2 linked regions of the Oreochromis niloticus genome follow. The protein of the gene in region 1 purifies or fractionates together with the protein of each later gene. This does not show direct contact. Links are inferred from orthologs where the notes say so. Each region holds a gene or a part of one and is shown on either strand. Other genes may lie near its edges.

What was found. The genes of interacting proteins can lie anywhere in the genome.
Region 2: the proteins of ap2a1 (region 1) and eps15 purify together in Homo sapiens (affinity purification with western blotting; 5 studies listed by BioGRID and IntAct, with this or other methods). This does not show direct contact. The link is inferred for Oreochromis niloticus from reciprocal best matches to the Homo sapiens genes AP2A1 and EPS15.

What each region holds. Positions count from the first base shown.
Region 1 is NC_031969.2:2,263,664-2,271,313, forward strand, and holds the start of ap2a1 (AP-2 complex subunit alpha-2), read left to right. Parts: upstream 1-4,629; 5' UTR 4,630-5,407; coding exon 5,408-5,474; intron 5,475-7,650.
Region 2 is NC_031986.2:43,764,417-43,772,435, reverse strand, and holds the start of eps15 (epidermal growth factor receptor substrate 15), read left to right. Parts: upstream 1-4,998; 5' UTR 4,999-5,139; coding exon 5,140-5,166; intron 5,167-7,949; coding exon 7,950-7,991; intron 7,992-8,019. Other genes in the region: calr (calreticulin), read left to right, coding at 1-33, 577-678, 928-1,131, 1,249-1,343, 1,517-1,726, 1,868-1,981, 2,170-2,313, 2,549-2,641 and 1 more. UniProt on the Homo sapiens protein: Involved in cell growth regulation. May be involved in the regulation of mitogenic signals and control of cell proliferation. Involved in the internalization of ligand-inducible receptors of the receptor tyrosine kinase (RTK) type, in particular EGFR.

The sequences.
Region 1 (7,650 bases):
AGGATTGTCCCGTCTTGCCTATGCTGCCCAGTCTTCATATGTGGAGTCATTAATCTGAGGACAGAATGATACTTGACTTCTTATGGAAACAAAACACATGAGCTGCAAAAGCCTGTTGTTTCCTTAGCTTGACTCGCTCTTCTTGGAAGGCTTTCTGACCTTAATATGAGTCAGTGTTTCTGCTGCTGAAAACAGATGTGATGATGGTGTAGATGTTAATAATTAATATTAATAATAATTCAGCGTCCAACCTAACAACCCTCAGCTTAGTGGTTCAGAGTGGGCCCATGTGCATTTCTACTGGCTTTTATTTCTATATTTGAAAGAATAATACAATATCTGATATTATTGTCACGAAAGCCTTGAAATAAATATGGTCTAGTATACCCAACGCCCCCTTTAGACATGGAAACAAAGAAATTGTGTCGAGAATGTTTTAGAGTGATTTGAAGTACTTGATGAATCATTTTTGTATTTAATTCAACAGAAGCTTCTTCAACATAAATCCCAGCCAAAGATGATGAAGGGCAGAAGAACATGGAGCAGGCGGTTGGTGGTCTTCTTCTCTGACATGAGGTGAATGTGCTCTCATCTGTGAAGACGGCGGGATGCCGGTGGCAGACAAGCCAGTTCAGTATTCTTTGGGCAATGTCAGATAATCTGCATGGTTCTGTACTGTGAGAAGAAGTAGTTCCACTAAAGGACTGCCAGTGTTTGTTCTGTTCCTACTTGCACAGAGACACTGAGGCCCAGCTGATGCCTTTCTACAGCCCTGTCTTGTCCTACTTTCTTCTGTAACAGCCTATCCCCTGGTATTTCTACCACAGTATTGAAGCTGTGCTTGGAGACACACACTTCTTCCAGCTGCACCTATGGACATGCCATGGACTGTGGGCTGCTTCTGCACTGTTTCACAGTAACCCTAAACTGTACCTAGACTGAAACATTGCTGTCGACATGTGTCCAAATATCTTTAGGTGTCTGCAGGAACAGGGAAACTTCCCATCTTCAGTGTAACTCAGTGGTTTCATTGACAGGTTTTTAAACTTTGAATTCTGTTGGGTTTTATGGCTCATTAAAAGCCGTTTGAACAGAGCACTGTTTCTTTTTCATAACACATTGTTAAAGGTTTTCTGTTGTGGTCTGTTTGTCAACAGAATGAAATTTTGAGGTACAGGAAGTAAGTGTGTCCTGACTGTTTAAGAGTTGTCATTGTCAATCAAATGACTCTGATCAAATTTCTGCACGAGAGCACATGTGGGGTTGATGAAAACTAGGGAAGTGCGTGACTAGTCGAATAATCAAGGTCGCTGTCACTAAGTGGTTTAGAGCACTTCGCTCTCACACTGCAGGCCTACTTGTTGTTCGTAGAGTATTTAAAAGTAGAATGGGAGGCAGAGCCTTCAGTTTTCAGGCCCCTCTTCTGTGGAACCAGCTTCCAGTTTGGATTCAGGAGACAGACACTATCTCTACTTTCAAGATTAGGCTTCAAACTTTCCTTTTTGCTAAAGCATATAGTTAGGGCTGGACCAGGTGACCCTGAATCCTCCCTTAGTTATGCTGCAATGAGGCTGCAATAAAAAAAATCCTGTTTTCCTTCTCTCACCCCAACCAATCACAGCAGATGGCCCCGCCCCTCCCTGAGCCTGGTTCTGTCGGAGGTTTCTTCCTGTTAAAAGGGAGTTTATCCTTCCCACTGTCGCCAAAGTGCTTGCTCATAGGGGGTCATATGATTGTTGGGTTTTTCTCTGTATGTATCATTGTAGGGTCTACCTTACAATGTAAAGCGCCTTGAGGCGACTGTTGTTGTGATTTTTAGCTGTATAAATAAAATTGAATTGAATTGGTATAGAATAGAATAGAATAGAATAGCCTTTATTGTCATTGTACAGGGTACAACGAAATTGGAGTGCAACTCCCTTGGTGCAAAAATACAATAATAAATATAAATGTAAAATATAAAAGGTGCAATAAAACAAACAATAGTAAGTACAATATATACAGGATAGCAGCATTAATATAATGACAGTATGAATAGCAGCATAATATAATGACAGTGACAATATGGAGTAGCTAAGCAGTTTCAATTGTTTTTGTGCTTATTTACTACGGTGATAGCTCTGGGAAAGAAGCTATCCCTGAATCTGTTTGTCCTGGTTTTATGTGACCTGTACCGTCGGCCTGACGGTAATAGTTCAAACAGCTGATTGCTGGGGTGAGAATGGTCCTTGATGATATTGCCAGCTCTGCTGAGGTACCGAGAGTTTGCAATGACCTCCAGGCTGGGCAGAGAGCAGCCAGTGATCTTCTGGGCTGTGTTGATGACCCTCTGCAGTACTTTCCTGTCTGCAGCAGAGCACCCTGCATACCATGTTGTTATGCCGTACGTTAGGATGCTCTCTATGGTGGCTCTGTAGAATGTCACCAGCAGCCTCTCCTCCAGGTTGTTCCTCCTGAGCACTCTCAGAAAGTGGAGACGCTGCTGGGCCTTTTTTACCACCGCCGTGGTATTTGCAGTCCAGGAGAGATCATCAGAGATCTGCACGCCCAGAAACCTCATGGAGTGCACCCTCTCCACACAGCTCCCGTGAATGTACAGTGGGGCCGGGTCTGCTCTGCCCTTCCTGAAGTCCAAGATAAGTTCTTTAGTTTTCGTGGTGTTCAGTTGGAGGTTATTAACTGAACACCACTCAGTCAGTCTGTTGACCTCATCTCTGTAGTCCGACTCATCCCCCCTTGAGATGAGTCCAACCACGGTGGTGTCGTCCGCAAACTTTATGATGGTGTTTGAGAGATGGGTAGGGGAGCAGTCGGATGTGTAGAACGTAAACAGGAGGGGACTCAGAACACATCCTTGTGGAGACCCGGTGCTGAGTGTGATGGTGCTGGACAGGTGGGGGCCGAGTCTAACAGACTGTGGTCTGTTTGTCAGGAAGTCCTTGATCCAGAGGCAGATGGGGGTGGAGAGTCCCAGGTGAGACAGTTTCTGGACCAGGATCTCTGGGATGATATGATTAAATGCTGAGCTGAAGTCCAGGAAGAGCATTCTCACATAGCTTCCTCTGTGCTCCAGGTGACTCAGCGCAGTGTGGAGCGCTATGGTGATAGCGTCCTCGGTGGATCGATTAGTCCTGTAGGCAAATTGGTGGGGGTCCAAAGTGGGAGGCAGACTGGCCCTGATGTGCTGACAGACCAGTCTCTCAAAGCACTTCATCACTACAGGCGTAAGTGCAACAGGCCTGTAATCATTTGGGCTGACCACAGCTGTCTTCTTGGCGATGGGGATGATGGTGGAGGTTTTGAGGCAGGGTGGGACGGTGTTTAATGACAAGGAAAGGTTGAAGATTTTAGTGAAGACTCCGGTCAGTTCGTCAGCACATGCTCTGAGAACCTTTCCATGTATTCCATCAGGACCTGCCGCCTTCCTGGGATTCACTGACCTTAGAGCACACCTCACTTGATGCTCCCTAAGTGTTAGTGTGCCGGTGCTGGGGGCGGGTGGAAGTGGTGTGACAGCTGAGGGCCTGGTCGTCTCAAAGCGGGCGAAGAAACGATTTAGATCCTCAGCCAGCGAGGCATCAGTCCTAGATGTCGCCTGGTTATTGCTTCTGTAGTTGGTAATGTGATTGATCCCCTGCCACATTTTTCTGGGGTCGTTGTCAGCAAAGTGATCTTCAATCCTCCTCCTATAGGCAGCCTTAGCTTTCCTGATGCCTCTACTCAGGTCTGCCCTGGCCGCCCTGTACGCAGCCCTACAGTATCAGACATACTAGTGGTTTAATCTAATGATTAACATTTTAATTGATGCTCAGTGCTGCATGTTGCATCTCCAAAAGTTGAATCTGTTCATCTGGACGTAGCGTTTGGTGGGAGAAACGTTTCGTCACTCATGCATGTTGCATCCTAAATGTTATGGAGCCATCTGCTGCCAGCTGCCACAGAACTACAGCATCGTTGTAGATCAGTGTCCTAATGCTGTTAATCTAAGACCTGATCTTTTTGGTAGGCATGTTATTGGTTTCAAATGCCTTTGTTTAGACACTTTTTGACCCTGTCCATTAAACGGTCCTAAGATGGATTATCTGAGTGCCCCAAATAACTGAACATGCGGGTAAACAGACACATTGCACGCGGACCAATGAATACCTGCGCAGGTGAAATTGCATGTCATTTGCATTTGATGTTTTCAGTTCTTACATAATTATTTAAAACAATAACGTCTGTTATTGTTAAATCCTCACTGCACAGTCTTGCACAAACTGTAAATACCAAAAATGATTCTCTTAATATTTAATACTTTAGTATTTTATTATTTTTTTTTATTTTATTATATGTTCTTTCTTAATATACCTGTACACATGTACATGTTCATGTAAAGCTGAGGAACACGAGCATTACAGGTAAATGTTGCTACACTGTTTATCTGTATATGACAATAAAACTATTGTCGACTGGACACTACAGCTTAGCACTGTTAACACGAAAGCCAACTTTTAGCATACTTTCATCGGGCCGGCTTCCCTGCCGCTCAGTTGTAGCCTGTTTTCCATACAAATGGCTTCATGGCAGAGGTGCACTGTGTTGGTGCAGCGGCAGCCACATATCGCCGCAAGTTGTCCAATCAGCAATAGGGTCCACTCGAACGACGAAAAGGAGCGTAGGCGTTCACGGGTGTGCTGCGCGGTCACGTTATTCTGCTGTCACGAGCCTGATCCGAGCCGTACAGTGGAGGCTAAAGAATTGGAGCGGACATCAGTTATACAGGACGTAATATTTTTAACCAAATTTAGTGCGCGAATAGAGAGCTCAAAGAAGTCTTACCGCTGGTTGGTATTTGAGACGCTCTACTGAGTTATTCCGATCAACCGGTGATGTACTCCAGTATTTGAATGATATTGCTAGTCAGCTAGCTAGCTAGCTAGCTGTTAAGCTAGCTTTACGTTGCGTGACTCGAAGTAATTGAAGAATATACTCTCGGACAGCATTCTTACTAACACGTCTGAGTGCATTTATCTTTAAGACATTTATCAGTAGCCGTTTTTATCTTTAGCACATTTTTGTGGTATGAGTTATACGTAATTTCTAATCCAAGGTAGATGAGGATTGAATGAAATAACGTTAGCTTGCCATAGCCAAGGAAACAAGCCAGCTAACAGGGATAACGTTAACTTATCCCGCTGCTTGCTGATAGACTGCCATCCAGCGGATCTAGTAAATGCTACCTGAATTACCCACCTAAAAGCATCGACCGAACTTGGTAGGCAGCAGTCAGTCACAAAGTTGCAGAGAGGCAAACGGCTACTACCAAACATCAAGTTTGCCATCGTCGACTCCAGTCCGCTGTGAAACGGTGACCGGCGTCAGTGTTTTTCGGAGAAGGCCAGAGTGAGGACAGAAACCTGCAGACATGCCGGCTGTGTCGAAAGGAGATGGAATGCGCGGATTGGCCGTTTTCATTTCGGACATTAGAAACTGTGAGTTACCTTTCTTTATGCTACTTCATCATATGTGTTATTATTTCATTGTGTCATCAAAGTTGACATGGCTAATCTCATACATCATGCAGTGTTGTCATGTGGTATCCTCGACGCAGAAAGCTCTATCTACTTTTTTTAAAAATCAGTTTCGTAACGTTTAGTGGAACAATCAATATGATTTCTCACGTATTGACAGTAATGTGACTGTGGTGAAGTCACCTGCAGGAACAGAATAAAGGATGTTAGGCTTGGAGTAGCAGCTCTGATCAAACGTTTCCTGTTGTATAGTTGTACATGTTGGAAAGCTCGGCGACGAAAGTTCAATTCGCATTTGAAAATTTAGTGTCGTGTCAGGACGCTCCACATGTCTGACAGGCAAGGAAGACTGAAGCTTAAACGAAAACCAGTGGTTGGTATTTAAAACAACAACAATAGTATCAGTGATTACAAGTATAAATAAATAATAATAAATAATACTATTACGTGTAACAAAATGCTACATATTTCCAGCAATTCACTGTCTGTTTTTTTTTGTCAGTTTCCCAGTAATATTTATTCCAGTGATGACGAGAATGCCAGTTTTCACTGTTACTGAGTAGTAACAAGAATTTAGGAAGTAGTTTCCATCTCCTCTTTCCTTTTTGCCGTGATTACACATTTCAGTGTTTGTCACTGCAAACCTAACAGCTACTCCGGGCTTACATTGACAGGCAGTAATGGCTACTTCATGGTGGAATATTTGATACCTCCAGCTTTCATCAGAATCTGAAGTACACTGTATTGTTCTGCCTTTGGGCACGTTTAAAGAAAAATTCAGCAGAAAATAAAAATGTGTGACCTACAACTAGTGTAAATGTTCAAGGTGACGAATATTGCAAACATTTGCAGTGTCGTCTAGATGACTTGTTTTCAAACGTGCTGTGTCAGTAGGGCACCAAAGGGCAGGCAGACCTCTCCAAACACATGTGATTTGTAGCCTTGGGAAATAGACTTGATTACATGTTATCAAATACTCATTTGAAATAAATAGTAATAACATGACAGGTTGTATTGGAATGTTATTGACAAAAGCTTGTGAGAATGAATTTGAGTCTTGTTATGTCGGCAACAAACTTATGTAAATCAGACAGTGAACTGGTTGATTTGAGTCTTTTTATTTCATTTTAAGCACTTTGAGGTATTGCATGAGGTGTATCTGTGCTAACGGAAGCCTGTTAGAAACAGTTGTCTGCTGCCTGTCCAGTTGGGGAGTGTACCACTTTTTGGACAGATGGTAGTTAGAAAGCTTTAACTCATCAGCCATGCTGGTTGGTAGCTGTCTATCACTGTTTGAGCAGGAAGGCGGGCTGCAGGGTGACAGCCCATGATTAAATCCCATTCATTTATCATGATCATCATTGCTTTTCATGGTAAAAATGTTTTTTAGTGACAAGCTCTTTGCCTTCTGCTGTTCCAGTGTTGCTTATCATTATACCTGTTTAAGCAGAAAGTAGATCTGTCTTTAATTGTAATGTTACTTGTTCAGACTAAACACAAATTAGGTCAATAATTGGCAAATGCAGGCACGTGGTCAGGCAGTGGTTTAGGGAGAGCTTGTTGTGGCAGAACATGCATTTTCAGTATTGTGTGATCATGTTCGATTAATTATGGCCAGCCAAAATCATGATCAAGACCCTATTGTGACTGTTCTGTTTAATAAGGCCTAAGCACTTAAAGTTCAGTTCAATTTTATGAACATGACATCAATTGAAAACAATAGTTGCTTCATATTGTAAAGTAAAGGTGGCATGGAGATTTTGCCATGAAACAGGAAGTTGTGAAATCTGGTAGTGTAATGTCCCGAGATGGGCCATAGCCTGAACCCAGCTGAAGTCAGCTATTTGGCAACATTTTGAGGCTTTGTATTTGAGGAAACTCCTCGTAGGGATCTTACTGAATCAATTCCTTGGTCAGTCTAAAGTGCGATTTTAAAATGGTATATTTTTTTCTGCAGGAACATCCTAAAGCCTTCCAGTTCATTTATTTAAGCTCACAGTAGAGCGGGACTAAATATTGATACAGAAATGTGTCATCTTCCTTTTGCGATACTTTATCAACACACCATTGTCAAATATCAGTGGTGACCAAGCCTGAATGTTCATCCAATATGCAGGCTCTCTAATTTACCTCACTC
Region 2 (8,019 bases), on another chromosome or scaffold:
CAGTTTATTTCCGCGAGCAATTTGAAGACGGCGGTGAGCTCTTTCACACAACATTACACAGATAGGATTGAAGTGCTTGCTTTTCTTTGTTGCTGCTGTACATCTTCGAGATGCTGTGGTGCTGACTGAGATGAATGATGGCTATTTTTCATGTCCGCATTGTTACGATTATTTCTCATGATTTTACTGCAATTTCTGGAATGCATCGTCAGCTGATTAGTCTAGAAGACCAACCGATCATTCATCCATTCATTGATTTATTCATATTTCGTGCTTTATGTTTCCCAGCCCTCAAAGCTATTATCACACCCCGTCTGCCTCCCCCCTCCCCCCACTGCTGCACATCTCTCCCCTGGTCATTCACTGCTACCCTCCTTCTCCCAGCTGTCCTGTTCTTTCATCTGTGAAGGCAGTCACAAAATCCCGCAGTATGCCCCCCACCCACCCACCCACCCACACACACACACACACACACACACACACACACACACTGTATCGAAGGCTGGATTAACAGAGAGTTTTGCGAGTCTTGTCTTGGTGATTGCTGGGCAGCTGACTCTGAACCTGTTTGTGCAGATGCCTGGATGAGTCGTTGGGCGGAATCCAAGCACAAGTCCGATTATGGGAAGTTTGTCCTGACTGCTGGGAAATTCTACGGTGATGAAGAGAAAGACAAAGGTAAGCAGGAAGGTGCTGATATGTGTTGCACAATTACACTGTACAACCCTGTCAGACACCTGCTGTCAGAGGCGCGTGTTTGCTTCCTCGTGGAGCTCTGCCAGTATCAACACGACCGTCTTCCTCTCTGTTCTTCAACTTGAAAAGAGCAAAAGCATCAAATTAGGCCGTACTGTTTCATTAAGAAAGAACAGGAGTACGCGCTGGTTTAGCTTGATCTTCCCTGCAGTAACACCATTGTTTCTGCAGGTCTGCAGACGAGCCAGGATGCCCGTTTTTATGCACTGTCAGCCCGTTTTGATGACTTCAGCAACAAGGGCCAGCCTTTAGTCATACAGTTCTCTGTGAAACACGAGCAGAGCATCGACTGTGGCGGAGGCTACATTAAACTGTTTCCCTCCAAGCTCAACCAGGAGGACATGCACGGAGACTCTGTCTACAACATCATGTTTGGTAAGTGGACCAAAGGATGGTGTCTTAAATGGTATTACTTTTGTTGGATAAACAGAGCAGTGTCTGTTTGTTATACACAGACATTCACCGTCACTTTGTATTTGTGGGCTCATTCAGGTCCTGATATTTGTGGCCCTGGCACAAAGAAAGTTCACGTGATCTTCAACTACAAAGGCAAGAACCACCTGATCAACAAGGACATTCGGTGCAAGGTGACGCATGTTTTCACGTTTAAGTAGGAAAGCTAGTTCTAATAAAAAGCACCACAATATAAGGACACACGAGATTAAACAATTAAGAATAAACTACATGGTAATATGCTGTTAGTTGCATGTATTGACGGCACGCTTTTTCCAACAATATACCTTTTTTTTCTGCCCTGCAGGATGATGAGTACACCCACTTGTACACACTGATCGTCAACCCTGACAACACTTATGAGGTTAAGATAGACAATAAGAAGGTGGAATCTGGCAATCTGGAGGATGACTGGGACTTCCTCCCTCCCAAAAAAATCAAGGACCCTGAGGCCAAAAAGCCAGAGGACTGGGATGACAGGGAGAAGATTCCCGACCCTGACGATAAGAAACCTGAGGTCAGTATGACCTGCCATTCTTTCAGGGCATCACTTTAATGATAGTACTTGTCTCACGTGTGCAACACTGTTTTAATTTTTAAAATGTTTCGATAGGTTGATCATGTTTCAGATGTTTTGTTGTTTTTGTTTTCATTGCAGGACTGGGACAAACCAGAGAACATCCCAGATCCTGATGCCAAGAAGCCCGATGACTGGGATGATGAGATGGATGGAGAGTGGGAGCCACCGATGGTCACGAACCCTGAATACAAGGTGCATATCCAGAGATTATAACTCTTCATGCAGTCAGTATTTACTCTGTGCTATTTTTCTGAGCTTTGCACATCAGCGAGATTCCTAGAATAGGATTGGAATATTATCCAAAAATATTTACACTGTTTAGACTGTCAGCCGCTTTGTGTTTTAACCCCAGTTTCTCTGTGTGTGTTTGCTGTCCGCAGGGTGAGTGGAAGCCCAGAGAGATCGACAACCCTGCCTACAAGGGCAAGTGGATCCACCCTGAGATTGACAACCCCGAGTACACGGCCGATTCTGAGATCTATAAATACGACAGCGTCGGGGTGATTGGGCTCGACTTGTGGCAGGTAAGCTGGATGTGTATTTACATCTTAATGCATAATGAAATATATTTAAATATTTTAAAACTATTTACATTGATCCAGCAATTCGGTTACTTGCTTTGTATTGTGTGAGCTGCTGGAAAAACTATGCATGTTTTCTCAGGGAGAAATGCTCGAAACTCTTTGAGTTTGTGGATTGTGCTTGTTTTCTTTAAAGATTTGATAACAAAATATGCGTTGCCCTTGTGTCTGGCTGCAGGTCAAGTCTGGGACTATCTTTGACAACTTTCTAATCACAAACGATCCAAACCTGGCAGAGGAAGTTGGCAACGACACATGGGGCAAAACTAAGGTATGCTCATTTTAGCCCTGTACCCTGTAATCCTAATTCTAATTTCATGTCAGTGTCAACAATAATAAGAAGGAATGAGCTTTTCATATAGATTGATATATTTATTTGCATTGTTCACATTTTCTCCAGGATGCTGAGAAGAAGATGAAGGAAAGCCAAGAGGAAGACGAGAGAAAGAAGCGCGAGGAGGAGAACAAGAAGAGGAGAGAAGAGGCAAAGGAGGAGGATGAGGAGGAAGAGGAGAAGGAGGAGGATGAGGAGGACGAAGAGGAGGAGGAAGGGGAAGAGCATGAGGAAGAGGAGGAGGAAGAAGAGGAGGAGGAAGGCACAGACTCTAATCTCAAGGATGAGTTATAAACTCAGGAACTGCTCAGACTGTGTCAGTGGGCCGTTGGAATAAGGCTGAAGACTGAGACCCTGATGACTGACACCCCGGGGTGGGGGCTGGGTGGGAAGGGCTTTTTCCATTTCTTTGTTTACAAAGCAAGGTGATCGGTCAGAAAAGGGCAATTAAATGTTCTGTTTCTTGTTTCCATGTGCTACTACTACTATTATAATGATGATTATTAAATGAGGACTAGTGATAAGCATAATTAATGTCAAAATGAATGTCAAAACCAGAAATTTTAACACAAATGTGTGAATTGTCATTTACATTTTACAAAATCTGGGTTGTTATGAAGTGTAATATTGTGATGAGATGAGAAGTTTTATTTGGTATGGAGGTGGTGGTACCAGGAAAACGTTTGGTTTACCTCACGTGTTTTTTTTGCCTTTAATTTTTTATTTTTGTACATTTTTCTTTCACTCATTCCTGTCAGGCTGGAAAGATTAGATAAGATTCGATGTTGTCATGCAGGTTATTTTGCCTTCTTCTGTTTCCACTATTCAAACGAGGATTGTTGGCACGGCGACCAGAGTGCAGTAGGACTAACACTATATTTGACAACCTGATCAAAAGTGAAAAAAAATTTAAAAAAAATCAGTCTGCAGTGGGATGGTAATATGAGGTGCTTTAAGATGAAGTCCCTTGCATAGTTTTGTACTGTATAGGTAACACTTTTTCCACTTCAGTGCACATACTATAGTCTCGTGTGTCTAAATAAGCTCTACTCAAACTTAGGATGTACATTAAGACCACTCCGGTAGCAGAACATTTGGTCGTTTGGTACGCACACACTTTAGGTTTCCTCACCGTTCGTGTATACGTCTAGTTTCCTGATTTTTGATTCCAAGTTTTCTGCACTGCTGTACCCCAACGCACTGTCCCAACCGTCTGACAGAGGCTCCTTTTGTAAAAGACATTTTGTACTAATGGTAGTAAATGAAGTGGGGCGATTTTTGTGTTGCTGTGTAAAATAAAAACAAAGGCAGGTGATCTGTCCAATAAAACAGCCAGAAGAAAACAATGAAAAGATCTTTGTGAAATTTGTGTCTTTTGTGTGTGTGCGTTATGTTTTATTTATCTGTTCTCCCTTTTCCCCTGGCTGGGTTTTCTCCAGATTCCTCCCAGAGTCCAAAGACTGAATTAATTTGTTATTATGTAGGTGATGGCCTGGTTAGGGCTGACCCCTTAATTTTGACCCATGACAACTGGGACAGGCCACAGCAGAAGAACATGGATGGATGAATTTTAATTTGGTTCCTTCATTTGATTTAGATATCTGTTCAAATTTGGCAATCATTTGAATTTTACTGCTCACCGGGCTCATCAAAGGTTACACTACAGTTTAAACTAGAGGTTTAAGCTAAACTACAGTTTGCAGTACCTGGGTATACTTCAGCTTAATTTACATTTGAATCTTCTCCTTTCGTCTGTATTTTATTATCTACTCACAAAGATTATCACAGTTAAATAAAATTAGACTAAAAACTAAGACTAGGTGAACAAAAACTGTCTGATGAGGCTTTTTAAAATTTTCTTTAAATTGTCATTAAATCACCTGCCTCCTTAAAACAAGAATGCAAAACTAAGCAAAATAATAAAAACTAATATGAAAATGAGAAGCTCAATAGATTGACAAAATAACAGATTTTAACAGTTCATTTTTTGTCAATTTTATTCTACTTTGAAACAAAATTGATCATAAAACGTAAAGTCAGACTTACAAAATTTGATGTGTTTCACTAATGTTCGAACTTAAATAAAAATGTGTTTGGTCGTAGTGGATATTCTACTTATTTATATATTTTTAAATGCCTAATATATTAGACATTTAAAATATATTTTAAAACGACCCATAGAAAAATAAATTGCCGATAGCAAAATGACGCAACTAAAAGTAAAGAAATTCATAGAGTGGGTGTGTCAAGTCTTTATTTGTCATTTATCTCTGCAAGCCTTGGCTTTTGTTATTTGTGTACCTCCTCGCAGGGATGCAGGGACGGTGAAGCTCTGAGGGGAGGTCGGTCCCTGAGGTCTGGCTTCAGGGTTTTCAGCGGCCTCTACCGCTGCCTGTCGTCGGCGCAGCTTGAAAGCGGTGGGAAACAGAAACACTATGGCTTCCAGTCTGTCTCTTACTCAGGTAACACTGTCTTACAACTCAAATATAACGACAGCAAACGCTTTCTGCCCTCTGCCTGTTACGCTCGGAGATGTTTCGGCAGCGTCGGTTAAACCTGGCTGAAAGAATCGCGGGCTTTCTTTGATTCTGGTTCCTCTTTTGGAAGTTTAGCCCTGCTGTGACTGGGAAAAGTTTCTTCCTAATCTCTTTGGGGACTGCGTAAGGGCGTAGCTAGCTAGCTAGCCTGCTAGCTAACAGCTAGTTTGTGACCAGTGTTGGGCTGTTTTAGAGTCGCTTTATCAAAGTTGAGATAAACCGTGTAAGCTAGCGCTGCTCGTCTTCGTTTCCTTTCGGGTGTTTTCTAATCGTATTTAGTGCTGCCCGGTTTGCTGCAGGCTATTTGGGTGTTGGGCTGCCCATGTGTGGCTCTACTGTCACATTTCTGCTACTTCAGCCTCTGCTAACATTGTTTTCCTCTGATAAAGCACTCAAGCCATATACAGTAAAGCTTGTAGCCTATGTGTTGGATTTTCTTGCCGTGTATGTAGCTTTGTTACATGGTTAGACTGAATAGGCAGCCTGGTTATTGCTATTATTAGAAGTAAACATGCTTCGGTGACTGGCTTGGTGTCTTTCCCCCCTGTCACCTTTCAAAAGTGGACAGCGTTAACAGTTAGCCTGTTAGCTGCTGCTGTTAACAAATAGTTAATAGAGAAAACTCCTCATATCGTTAGCTGTTATGTTGCAACTAGCAAGAGGAAGTGAATTGAACAAGCCACTAGCCACCTCTACTGTCGTAAAAGGCTGCACAGTTGCTGCTAGCTAAATTAAGTTCTAAATAATGTAGCGTCAGAATGTGTCTGTGTTGTTTAGGAGGCGACGGGCAGGTTAAATTAGCAGCTTTAGGTCGTGGACTTGTTACCTGAGCTGCCGTTACTTCCAGCAACAGACAGGAGTTGCCTGCCAGCAGCAGCTTTGAGATCCTTGTCTCTCAAATGACTTGAAACCTGTGTTTATCTGTGAGCTGTGGGAGTTCATTGGCCTGTCAGGCACCAGTGCTTGTTGTAAGTGTTCCTGTCAGATGCCCGATAATCTCCAAACTCGCCTCATGTTTGGTGTTGATAGTGACATCAGTGTGCTTTATTACCATGGGTGGTTATAATCTCTAGAACAGTCTAGCCTGTCCCGCCAGCTCCTGCGCCCTGATGTTTCTGGCTATCTGCTGCAGTTTTGTATGGGCTAGCTGGGGGATGAGTGAGGGGTGTTTTTTCAGTGCTCAATTAAAGTCACCAGTACAAAGACCACAGTGTTACAGACGCCAACAGTCCCAGGCACAGTATTGTGTGTCATAGGGGAAAAGAAAAAAGTTGCATTGACTAGAGAAAGATATGTGTGTGTCAACAGTTATTTCACTGTAAACTGGTGGGTGAAAAAGCTGACTGATAACTTTGCTTTTTATGTGTGCGAGTTGTTTTTGGTGTCAGATCTAAGTCTGTTTTACAATAGAGAGTAATCTCACATGTCTCTGAAAGCCTTAACCTCCTTTGACTAGCCACTCCCTGGTTGATTCACACTTGAAACAATTACTGTCCATCCCTTTCCTCCCTTCCTTGCACCTGCCAATTTGAAACCAAACAACCAGCTGTCAGTTTCAGCTACACAAATAAGGAAGCACTGCTTTATTTCCTCTTTAGTCCAACAGTAGACATTTTTCTTAACAGAGGAAAGAGGGGCGTTTAGGGAGGACATGACAGAAGGCCAGACTAACTGTTGCCTTTGGAGTGACGCCTTGTAAATGCCTAAAGCTGACCAGGGGGCCCCAGGAAATGTAGCCTGCATCCTGAAGTTATCACAAAAGTTATCACTCTCTCTGCATGCAACTCAGCATAAACCTTCTGGTGTATTCTGAGTCATCCATCCATTCTCCAGAGTATTTGTGTCGATGTTTACGTGGAAATGCAGAGTAGCTTTTCAATGAAACAGTCAGCTGATTAATCGAAAAAGGATTCAGTTGTTTGGAAAAGCGAAAATGGCAAATATTTTCGCAGCCTCAGTGACATTTAAACAGTTTCTCTTTGTATTAATTGAATATATTTAGGTTGTGGCTTGTTTTTGATCAGATGCTCAGGTACATCAGCATTTTCAGACATGTTTTATTTCAACTCAAAAAGACACAATAGCTGCCTCATTTTAGTAGGATAGATTGTGGTAATTAATTAACAATGCTGCATAAATACGGATTTTTCTAAGCAAAATTACACAATATTTGATGTGCTTACATGGCAGGTAGTAGGAAAGTTTAAGAAATTGCTATTTTTAGGCATTTGTTAGGAGTAAAAGTTGGATTTATTGTAATTATAAGCAGCTGACTTATGAATGATGAAAACTGCTGCACCTGATTGCTACTCATTGTCATAGATGCTATATTGTTTTTGTCTTTATTTGTTATCCTACCTGTAACACAGCCATTATAAACTTTTTGGTTTTGCAGTCACACTGTGGCTTCTTTAATGGTAAAACGTTCTACTAAATGAGTCATTTAAGTCATTTTTCTTAGCTGTTTTTAACATATTTAGCCAGTGGCTATACTTGGAGCTCAAACAAGCAGCTCTTTAACTGTCTCAGTGGATGACAAACTTTCTGTAGCCGTCAAACTCTTGTTGGTTGTTTCAGAGCTAACTTTGAAAAATCATTTGAACGATTAGTGTTAGATTGTTATAAGGAACATTTTTGAATTTAGGTAAAAATGACTGTGTTTTAAAAATCTCTCAACTGTTTTTATTCTTCTCTTTCTCCGTAAACAGCTCTCCAGTGGAAACCCCATCTATGACAAATACTATCGTCAGGTATGCCATCGTATCTTTCCCATAGGTT